Ovis aries: one gene and its partner. Each later gene encodes a partner of the first gene's protein in a complex. Links are inferred from orthologs where the notes say so. Each region holds a gene or a part of one and is shown on either strand. Other genes may lie near its edges.

Evidence for each region. The genes of interacting proteins can lie anywhere in the genome.
Region 2: MED13 (region 1) and MED26 share a complex: the UniProt entries of both Homo sapiens proteins name them as parts of the mediator complex. The link is inferred for Ovis aries from reciprocal best matches to the Homo sapiens genes MED13 and MED26.

What each region holds. Positions count from the first base shown.
Region 1 is NC_056064.1:10,737,597-10,742,599, forward strand, and holds the start of MED13 (mediator of RNA polymerase II transcription subunit 13), read left to right. Parts: upstream 1-1,578; 5' UTR 1,579-2,311; coding exon 2,312-2,377; intron 2,378-4,171; coding exon 4,172-4,406; intron 4,407-5,003. UniProt on the Homo sapiens protein: Component of the Mediator complex, a coactivator involved in the regulated transcription of nearly all RNA polymerase II-dependent genes.
Region 2 is NC_056058.1:6,188,754-6,193,939, reverse strand, and holds the start of MED26 (mediator of RNA polymerase II transcription subunit 26), read right to left. Parts: upstream 3,492-5,186; 5' UTR 3,231-3,491; coding exon 3,159-3,230; exon of another isoform or gene 1-3,158. UniProt on the Homo sapiens protein: Component of the Mediator complex, a coactivator involved in the regulated transcription of nearly all RNA polymerase II-dependent genes.

The DNA.
Region 1 (5,003 bases):
CTTGCATCAGGTGGCCAGTGTTGAGGGTTATGCATATATCTTATTCATATTTGTATCCCAGGCCTAGCACAGACCAGGAACACATTCATATGAGTGTGCTCAATAATGATTTTTTAAGGTATATTAACAGATAACATTTAGCAAGCACTGTGGCAAACCCTATGTCTGCAATGTTTCATCCACCAGACACTTTAGGAGGAAAGTACTTTTATTATCCCTATTTCACAATGAGAAAATTGAGAGCAGGAGAAATTAATTTGATCTAAAGTCAAATTTGATCCAAGATCAACTAGTAAGTGGCAGAACTCCTCCTGTAGGTTTTTGGCTTCAATATCTGAGGTCTTCACTACCATATATGAATCAATACAGGAGGAAGGCTTTCCAATCTGTGGCTGAATAAGGGGCATAGAAGAATCCACCATCATTTTACAGAGGCAACTAAGATGAAAAATTATGGTAAAGTCCTAACTCGATGATGTCTCCAATTTTTTGAATCACCTTTACTTCTTCCTCCCTCCCTTCTCCCCTCTTCCCTTCTTTTCCCCTCGCTGCTCTCTTTCCTTTCCATCTCTCTCTCTCTCCCCTTCTCTCCCTTCTAAAACTTAGGAAAAACGTCTTGAGTTCCTACTTTGAAGTATGATCCAATCAAGAACTGTAATGTTTTTTGGGAACGGAACGAATATTTTATTTGGCTCCTACTTCTTTCCATTCAGTCGCAAATTCACAAATATCAAGCACCTACTGTGTGCTAGGAACCTTTTTGAGACACTGGAGACGCAGCGGTAAAGCAAAGTAAGTGCGGGTTCTCACGGAGAGATCACTGTCAGTGGGCATTTTACATACACTTGGGTCACTTACTCCTCACAATAACCACACGAGGTAATGATGACAGCAGTAATAGACAACTCTAAGCAGTGTTTATCTGTGCTGGGCACTGGGCTTACCTACGTGTTTTCTTTGTATTAACTCATTTACCACAACAACCCGTGAGGGAGACATGTCTTCCTCATTTCACAGATGAGTAAACTGGAACGCAGGTAAGTGATCTGCTCAAAGTTCGAACTCAGGCAGTGTCACTCTAACTCCCGGGCTGTGAACCACAAGGCTATACTGTTTCATTTATGTTTCCTTCATAATATTCCAACTTTCGAGCGGCCGAGTCCGGTCTCAGAGGATCTGACGCCCAAGCCCAGGGGTTTGTGCCGCACCCCAACGGCCTTGAGGAATAAGTGAGATTGGCTTGGAATTTTTGCAGTACTTTTCTCTTCCACAGAATCCAAACTGATTTCAACGTAATTCTCAGATTTGTGATTTGAACCCTCTGGTACTGTCAGTTGCCCGGTAAGGAGAGAGAGAGAGGGCCAGGGCCCGGGTCATCGCACACTGGCCGGGGCACCCAGCAGATGGCGCTGTCTCGGTGGCCAACAGCCGGCTGCCCCGTCCCCCGGGGCTCAGCGCCTCCGCTTGAAAGCTTCCCGGCCCTCTCTCACTCCCTTCTCGCTCCCCCTCCCCACGGAGCCTGGGCCCACGTGACCTCGAGGCGGCCAATGGGCGAGCAGAGAGGGCGAGCTGGTCCCTGTGGCCGCCATTAAAGCGAAGGGAAAACCCGTGAATTCGGATTAAAGGGGGAAAAACACCGCCCGCTGGGCCCACAAAATGGGGGAGACTACGGCGTCCCGGCGGTGAGGCCGCAGGAGAGCGGACGTTAGGCCGGTCTGGCTCAGGGACGACACGAAGACACAGCCAGAGAATGGTCTGAGCCCGCAGACGCCGCCACCAACCTCCGCCACTGAGGAGACTCTGGGCTTAAGGACATCGCCGCCGCCGGGCCGGGGGCCTGGGCTTCTCTCCCGGCTCTCGCCCTTCCCGCCCCTCTGCGGGCGCCTCTCCGCCCCGGGAGCAGCCTCCGGGGCTCGGGCTCTGCCCTCTCGGACTCGTTTTTAATTATTTATTCTGTAATTTATTATTTTTTTCTGGTGGCAGGGGCACACATCCCCTCCGTCCCCCGAAGAGGGACGAGCGTCCGCGGGCTCCGCGGCGGCCGCAGCCCGGCCGGCGGGGCGAGCGCGGCGCGGCCCTCCCGCCTCCGGCCCTCGGCCCCGGGCGGCTGGGTGCCGGCCGGGCGGCGGGGGCTGCTCGCGGCGGCGGGGGGGTGGGTGGGGAGGGCGGGCGGCCCGGCGGCCTCCTCTTCCACCGCCCCCCCAACCACCACCCCCCCGCCCTCCCCGGTGTCTGTTTCTCTCTCTGGTCGGAGGCGGCGGTAATGGCGGATGGTGGGTTGTGGCGCCGGCGGCGGCTGCTGTGAGGGACGATGAGTTCCTCCTTCGTGCCGAACGGGGCCAGCCTGGAAGATTGTCACTGTAACCTCTTCTGCCTGGTGAGTGCCGGGCGGGGGCCGCGGCGGGCGGGCGGTGGGGGAGGGGCCGCGAGGTGCGCCCTTGGGCCGTGGGGGAGGGGGTCCGGGTCGGATCCAGATGCCCGAGTCCCCGGGCGAGGCCCGGCCCGAGCCGGCGCCGCGGGAGCCCCGCGCCGGCCCGGAGCCGCCGGCCCGGGCTGCCCTAGGAGCGTCGGCCTTTTCTCCCGTTTCCGACACTTTTCTCGCCCGCGGTCCTGTCTCCCAACTTGGGCTCCTTTCCTGGCAGGACAGCGGCATTTCCCTCCTGTGTTGCTGGCTTAACTGTTGCTTGTCTCCTTATTGACCGTGTATCCCTTTTCTGCCACTTTCTATTATTGCCCATTCTCTCCCACTGCCTGGCTCTGCTCCTCTTATTTTCCCCCGATAAACGAGACCCCGGAACTTAGCACTCTTTTAATTTTACGTGCTTGTTCTTTATAAAGATGAGCCAAACTGTAGGGGGTTCGTTTGTTCCTTGGGTGACTTCAGACTCTTAAAAAAACAGTGAATGCCATTCCGTAGTTTTTCTTTTAAACTTTGAAAGCAGTTGGAGATTTTGACAGTCTCTAGCCGACTTGCTTTTATTAGAACATTAGGTTTGTGAGAGTGGAGCGAACTTATGGAAGAGATGCTATGGTTCTGGACTAAATATTTTTATACAGAAGGCTGCTCCTCTTATTGAAAAGTCAAGGGGAAGCTGGCTCTACGGATGGCAGTTGTGTTGGTTGGCCCCGGTCTGGGAACATCTGAATAAAGACTTTAAAAAGTACCAACTGTTGCAAATACTCAGTCTGCAGTTGGATAGGAGCTTAGCTTCATCAATGATTTGAAGTTTCGGTAACTTTCTTTTTTTCATTTTCCCTGTCCTATGAGGAATATTAAGAGTGTGTGATAGGTAAGTGAATTGAGTGGGCGGAGCACAACTAGTTGGCAAGTGTAAACTGCCAGTCATGTATCAGCAGTTTCATTTTTGGCACCTTAAGCTTGCACTTTTAAGTTAGATTAAAAAATTACTGAATTCATGCTGATAATTTCTTTTACGATACTAAATTGAGATCTTGAATGCCTTTCCCCCTTATAAAATGTTTCTTGTACAATATCCATTAATCAGCATCTCTTCAGATATAGTAGACAAACAGCAGGTTTTACATTTCTGTCTTCTCCAACTCAGTCTATTTTTGGTACTTTTAGGATCGGGTTCTTTGAAGATAAGACTAGCACAAATCTGACAGTTCTTTGTGAGCAGCTATTTGACTTTTCCTTAAAGAGATATATATGTAAAGATTTAACAAGAATGTTTTCATTTGTAGTTGAGATTTCTTTTCCTTAAAGCTGTGACGTCTGTAAACATGGAATGATGAATCTTTAAAAGTTAATTTTGTAGTAAGTTTGATACCAAGAAACAAATGTAACCAGTAAGAACAGAATTTAGGACTGAGAGCAAATGTTTACTCAGTGTGCAGTATTAAAGTCTGTGTTTATATTTAACATTATTAAAGCTTTTTAATTTATCCTTGGGACACATTTATTGACTTGTATTCAGTGACATGTCAGTATTAATTTTTTCAGTGTCTGTTCTTTTCCTTTAATTTTTGGTTGTTGAATTATCAGAATAAACTCCCCCCCCCCTTTCTTTTTTGGTCAGTTTGTTTTCAGTATCTCAAGGATATGTTGAAAAATTGTAATGTCTTAATGAAATAGGGGACTTTAATAGTGAGGACTTTCGATTTTGAGTGAATATGCAATAATAAAAAAATCATACTTTGTTTTCCTCAGGCTGACTTGACGGGAATTAAATGGAAGAGATACGTGTGGCAAGGCCCAACTTCTGCCCCTATTCTGTTTCCGGTGACAGAGGAAGACCCCATTTTGAGCAGTTTTAGTCGCTGCCTTAAGGCAGATGTACTTGGTGTTTGGCGGCGTGATCAGAGACCTGGAAGAAGAGAATTGTGGATATTTTGGTGGGGTGAAGACCCCAATTTTGCTGACCTAATTCACCATGACTTATCAGGTGAAAGCAGCTTATCATTTCTAACTTAAAGATATAGCAATGTTGTATACTTTTCCTAAAAACATTTGTATTACAAATGGAGATTTTTTTGGTGGAACATTTGTTTACTGTGAAACCAGACAAAAATTCAGCTTCATGTTTTATTTCACTGCGGTTATTTTATTTTACTGAAAATTATGCATTTTATGGCAGGTTTTTTGAGCCTCGAATAACTATTCTTTCTTCCACCTCCCAGCTTTCTCATGAATTTCTGGCAGACAGCCCAAGGAAGGCATGTTAGTAAATAAAATTAAGAAAAATGGAATTGGGGAGCATTTCCTAACAAAGTCAAAAAATACTTTTGAAACCATGTGTAACTCATCTTTGAGTCAATTCTGCTACTACTCTCTTCTGTGTAAATAAGCACACAGTTGTAGAAATATCTGGAAATATTGTAACTTTCTCATGTGCTTTTTTTCCCCCCTAGGCATATAGTTTTTTCAGTATTTTTATTTGTGGTTGTTACATTATTAACAAATCAAGGCTTATGTTAATTTTCTTATTCTTGGAATGTGATTCTTTTATTTTAGGTACTGTTCCATCAAAGACTGTCTTTGA
Region 2 (5,186 bases), on another chromosome or scaffold:
CCTGGATCTAGAAGGAGCTTTATAGGGCAAACACACCAGTCCCCAGTCTCAGGTTGTAGATGAGGAACCCACAGCCCAACGAAGCTCACTGGTATCCTCACCTTCCAATTCTTAGGTGGGAAAATGATCTTTTCCGTGTCTCTCTGCAGAGGCCCCTTGGTCACCTCCCCTTGGCACCTGAAGTCTGCAGAATACTGAGGAAGAAATGTAGTCCTGAGATTTCCTGCTGGAGAACCCAAGAAGGAGTCTAGGGTTCAGTAGTTTAACCAGCACTTAGAAAGTACACCTAACACTTCTGCTTTAGACAGAGCAGACAGAGAAACAAACTCCTCCTGAAGGCTGTCCTCTGGTCTGGAAGACAAAGCCCGAACTTTGGCAAAATAAGGAGTGTCCAATACAAACGGGAACCTAATCACTTGCTGATGAGACTATGCTTGAGTGGACTGACTGATTTCTGGGCAGGAAGAAAACAGTCCTCCTCAACTTTATCCATGACAAAACAAGATTAACAAAGGCACACAGTGCCCTTCGGAAAGATTTTCAACACCCTGGGCTGCCATACGACGCTAAGAGCAAGGATTCCACTGTTCTAAAAAACTTTCAGTTGCTTTTTGAAAAGAAGTGTACAAAATTTATTACTGAGCTGGCAAAAATTATTAAATCAAAGCCTGATGCTATAGATATTCAAGTACTCCAGAAGCTAGAATTTAGAGCAAAGAACTTTCCTCTTAAGAACTCTCTTTGTCAGGGAGATGATCAGAAAATGTTACTTTGTTACTTCCCTAACTTTTTAGATACTTGTGGATATTAAGTCAGCTCCCTGACATTGACTTTTCAAGCAAAAGTTAAGTTTGTTGTCATAACTGCATGCCCATAAAGGTAAGCATTAATGACACAATTCTCAGTCGCTTGTCTCAAAAGAGGTTTAATTTTAGTGTTGGCTCTTCAACGCTGTCCCCATTTTTATTTTCCAGGAGCATCTTAAATATGTGTCAACTAACTATGCAGAAGTGGAGTTTCTACTTGGGTAAGGCAGAGAAGAGCAGCTGTGTGCTGGCAATGCCTTGATGAAGCCACCTAGCTCTCACCTGGGCCCAGTTCAATCAAGAGAAACTGCAGAAATATGGTCACACCATCTCTACCGGCAACCTATTCCTCCACAGCTCTGAGTTTCTCCGCGGAGTTTGCTCCAAGCCACACTCCTGTCAAATGGCTTGTAACAACACCCAGGAACATCACTGACAACAGCAGCATTTAAAGGAGGCACTTTCTCATCACTCATATTCAGAGACAGTACCCCGATTTTATCCACTACACTTACATCAGTAAGACTCTGAGTCGTCCCAGAGAAGCCACGTGAAATGTGCACTCCATGATACGGAACACATCCATGGGCTTGGACCCTCTTCCTCCTGTTCTCCTAGGAACCCTTTAGAGTCTTACAAAACACTGGAACCCCTGAGGTCACCGCCCCACCTAATCTACAACATGGTGACTGCCTGTTAAAGCGCCTCCTGATCCCAAAGCTCTCCTAGGTGGTATTAGGATCAGTGCTAATATCTCAGCAACCATTCAGAATCTCTGCAAGGCAAACAAGCACATGGAATTCGAGAAATTACACTCTGAGGTGAAAGTCATCAAGGCTACATTTTTCATTTCACTTGTTTTATCCTCTACTTTTTCAGTCTTGGGAATTGCTGCAGCACCAGTTACTGCAAAAATTCTGCAAGGTTTTATATAGCTTGTGCCTACTCCACCCCCAAAGTCATAACAAAAATGTATACAACATTTGTTAAAGACAAGTACCACCAAGTCTATCTTCATGGGGCCTGAAGACCAGGAATTACTTATGATACAGAAATCAGTCTTATAAAGATCACAACTCCTCTCTTTCTACCAAATTTGTACAATCCAACCATGAATTATTCCCACAGTGCTGGCTAAAACCTACTGCTAAAAGTAATCAGCAAAACTCATGTAAAGGAAAAGCAAAAGTCCCCACAGTGACAGAAACCTAAGTTACCTGGCCAAGCCGAAGATGGTTTATTTCTTCCATCCCCAGCACATTAAAGTGGTTTCAATGGCCACTTCCTGGTCTCCCAGGAAATGCAGGGGCTCACTTCATACCTGGATGCTACAACATCTTGCCATTGCTGAACCTGCTCTGGCCACAAGGGAAAATAACCCCTATCACGGACAACCACTCAGAGAAAATATGAGAATTAGATAAATCCTTCCCAACACACACGGTGAAGGGCAGGGGAGATCCCTCCACAAACAGCAGCCTCAGTGGAGCAGCACCTGAGAAATCGACACCCTGGGGTTAACCCTGACTGTCTAGGTCACAAACCAACAGGCTAGGGCCCCACGTAGGGGGCACACGAAGAAGGGCTCTGGGTGGAATGGGAGAGCACATAATCACCTCTAATTCACTACCCAAAAGCGGGGCTCTGCCTTGGTCTGATACGCAAGGAATACTTAGGCCCAGAAAGGTAATAGGAAGAATCCCACTCTCTACAAGATCATCTTCCGTTGGCAGCGACCCCAAGAGAGACCCAGCGAAGCAAGTCCACTCTCAGAACCGAAAGGGACTCTCCACGAGCCTTGGGCACCCGGCTAGGTGTAAAGGAGGCCAGGGGGGCTCCCTTCGAAGCCAGAAAGGTTCTTCCAGCCGGGAGGCAAGGTAAATAAGACTTCCCTCCTCATCGATAAGGCCGAGACACCGGCGGCACGGGCTCCCCGAGTCCTACCCCGGACACCAGTTGCTCACAGCCTTTCCCCCTCCCCTCCCCCCCCGCCGGGAGGGCTTCCCGGGGGTCGCGGGTACTATGGTAAGGGCGAGGTGGGCAAGCACAGTCAGGAACAGCAAGGGTCGTAGAATTAGGGTGGATGAGGGGGAAAAACTCTAGTCTCAGCTCCCATCTGCTCCCTTCGCCCAGGCCGCATTAAAGCCTCGGCCTCACGTACCGAGCGCTGCCGGGCTGCCCGACCAGCCCCCGGCCCGGGCCCGGGGGAAGAGAGACAGGGATGGCAGCGGCCCTCAGGGGCAGCTGGGTGTCCGGGGGATCCTTCGGAGCCCGGCGGACTAGGAGCACTAGGGAGGGGGAGGGTCCTGGGCCCACGCGGCCTCCACTTTAACCCGTGTGAGGAGTACTTACGTTGCTCTGGGGGTCGATGGCCTGCAGCAGCCGGTCCCTGATCTGCTGCGGAGACGGCGGAGCCGCTGTCATTGCCTGGGCGAGGCGGGGGGGGAGCGGCCGGGCCAGCGGGCGGGCGGGCTGAGGCGGGGAACCGGGGTCACTCACTCGCCGGCCTCCGGGAGCGGAGCCTCATGTTCCCCGCGGCGCCGGGGAAAGAGGGGGCGCGCGGGGTGACGGAGAGGTGAGCCGGGGCCGGGGCTCAGGCCCGGGGCGCCGCCACCACCAGAGGAGGAGGAGGAGCCGCCGGAGCCGTCGCCGCTGCTGCCGCCGCCTCGAGAACCAAACTCCAGTGAGCTACCCCCGCGCGAAGCACTCTGGGTAACCCGCGCCGCACGCAGCGTCGGCGCCACGCTGAGGAGGTTGGGAGATAGGGCGGGCAGAGACGCTGAGTCTGGGCGGGGCCACCTGCAGGCCACGCCCCTAGACTCCACGCATGCGCGCGCAGGCGCAGTCGCCCCCACCTCTGTTCCGCCCCACCGCTTGGCCCAGGGAGCCGTTGGGAGGCGGTTGGGCGGGGCAACGGCCGCCGCCTGGAGGCCCCGCCCCCACCCAAGCCTGGAGGTTGAGGGGGTGGCGGCAGGAGGTTTCCGACGGAAACGCTAGGTGAGCGCCGAGTCCTTGAACCCTGGCGCTCTGGGCGGACAGGGCAGATGAAGGACCTCACTCCTAGGGTAGAAAAGCTTTTCCCATTCTGACGAAGATGACGGGAATCGCGGGCGGGAGAAGCTGCCAAGTTTCCTGCGCCCCGGGGTCCTTCCCAGCTCCTCTGCGTTCGGGGAGGCCAGGAGGCAGACGTCCACGTTGTAATTCTGTGCGCGGAAGGGTCAACTGAGGAGCGCTGTGGGACGCTCCAGAGGGGGCGGTGCGAGTCGGGGGTCTGCAGCGCCTCGGGCTACGATCCCCAAAACATGAGACAGCAAAGTGTCTCACGGAGGAGCCGCTACCGCAGCTAGGAAAGCCCCGAGGCCGCATGAGTTGACACCAACGTTGCAAACCTGTGTCCACTCCGGCGTTTCTCAGCCTGGGCACCAGTAACATTTGGGGCTGGATCACTCTGTTGTAGGGCCTGTCCTGTGCGTTGCAAGATGTTCGGCAGCATCCCTGGTCTCTGCCAGTAACACCCTTTTCCTGCAGGGGACCAAAAATGTCCCCAGTCACTGCCAGAGGTCACCTGGCTGGTAGAATCGACCCCTGTTGAGAATCACTGGTTTAAAAGACCTTCCCACCCTGCTTTGCATGGTGGTGCTGGAAAACTGAAACACCCTTACCAAGGAGGAAACTGAGGCCCTAGGTCACCCAGAGTTACCGATCAAACCCAGAACTGTTAAATGTCAAGTCTAAGGGCTTCTCCTGGCCCCTCGCCTCCTCATTGCCTTCTTTCATTGCCGGCTCTCCGTGGAAGCTCTTATTACATATACGGTTATGCAAACGGGTAAGAAAGGCAGGTGAGTGAGTGGATCATTAGCCGCAGCCTCGAGAGAAATAACTTTTCTTCTTGTTACAGGAAGACCTACATTTAAAACAGGAGAGAGGCAGCTGATGAGAACCACATGCGCGCCTCGGCGGCTCTGTGCTACACCTGTTAGTCTTCCATTTGTCATGCTTCTGGGAAGCGTTTTTATTTGCAAAAAACGGCTGCTGCCCCACGTGGTTGTGGTTGCCTGCTCCTGCACGTGTGAAAAGTTTTACATCACACTTGTAGGATAAAATAAATATGGGCAAATTACCTCGCTTTAATTTATTCACTCTCCCTGCTAGAATGAGGTGCTTTGTGTACACGGTGTCCAGGTTGGAAACCAGCCCATTTGGAGATACTTTTTATCTCACTACAGATAAAAGAAGCCCTCCCCCGAGTATATTCGGGTTCTGCCATTATTTTTAACTTCTTGTCTTTTTAAATCAAGGGTCCTTAGAAATAAGCTGCTTCCCACCCCCGCTCCACCCAGCCCCCCCAGCATGATTCAGATTAAGAAAAAAATCTGGAAA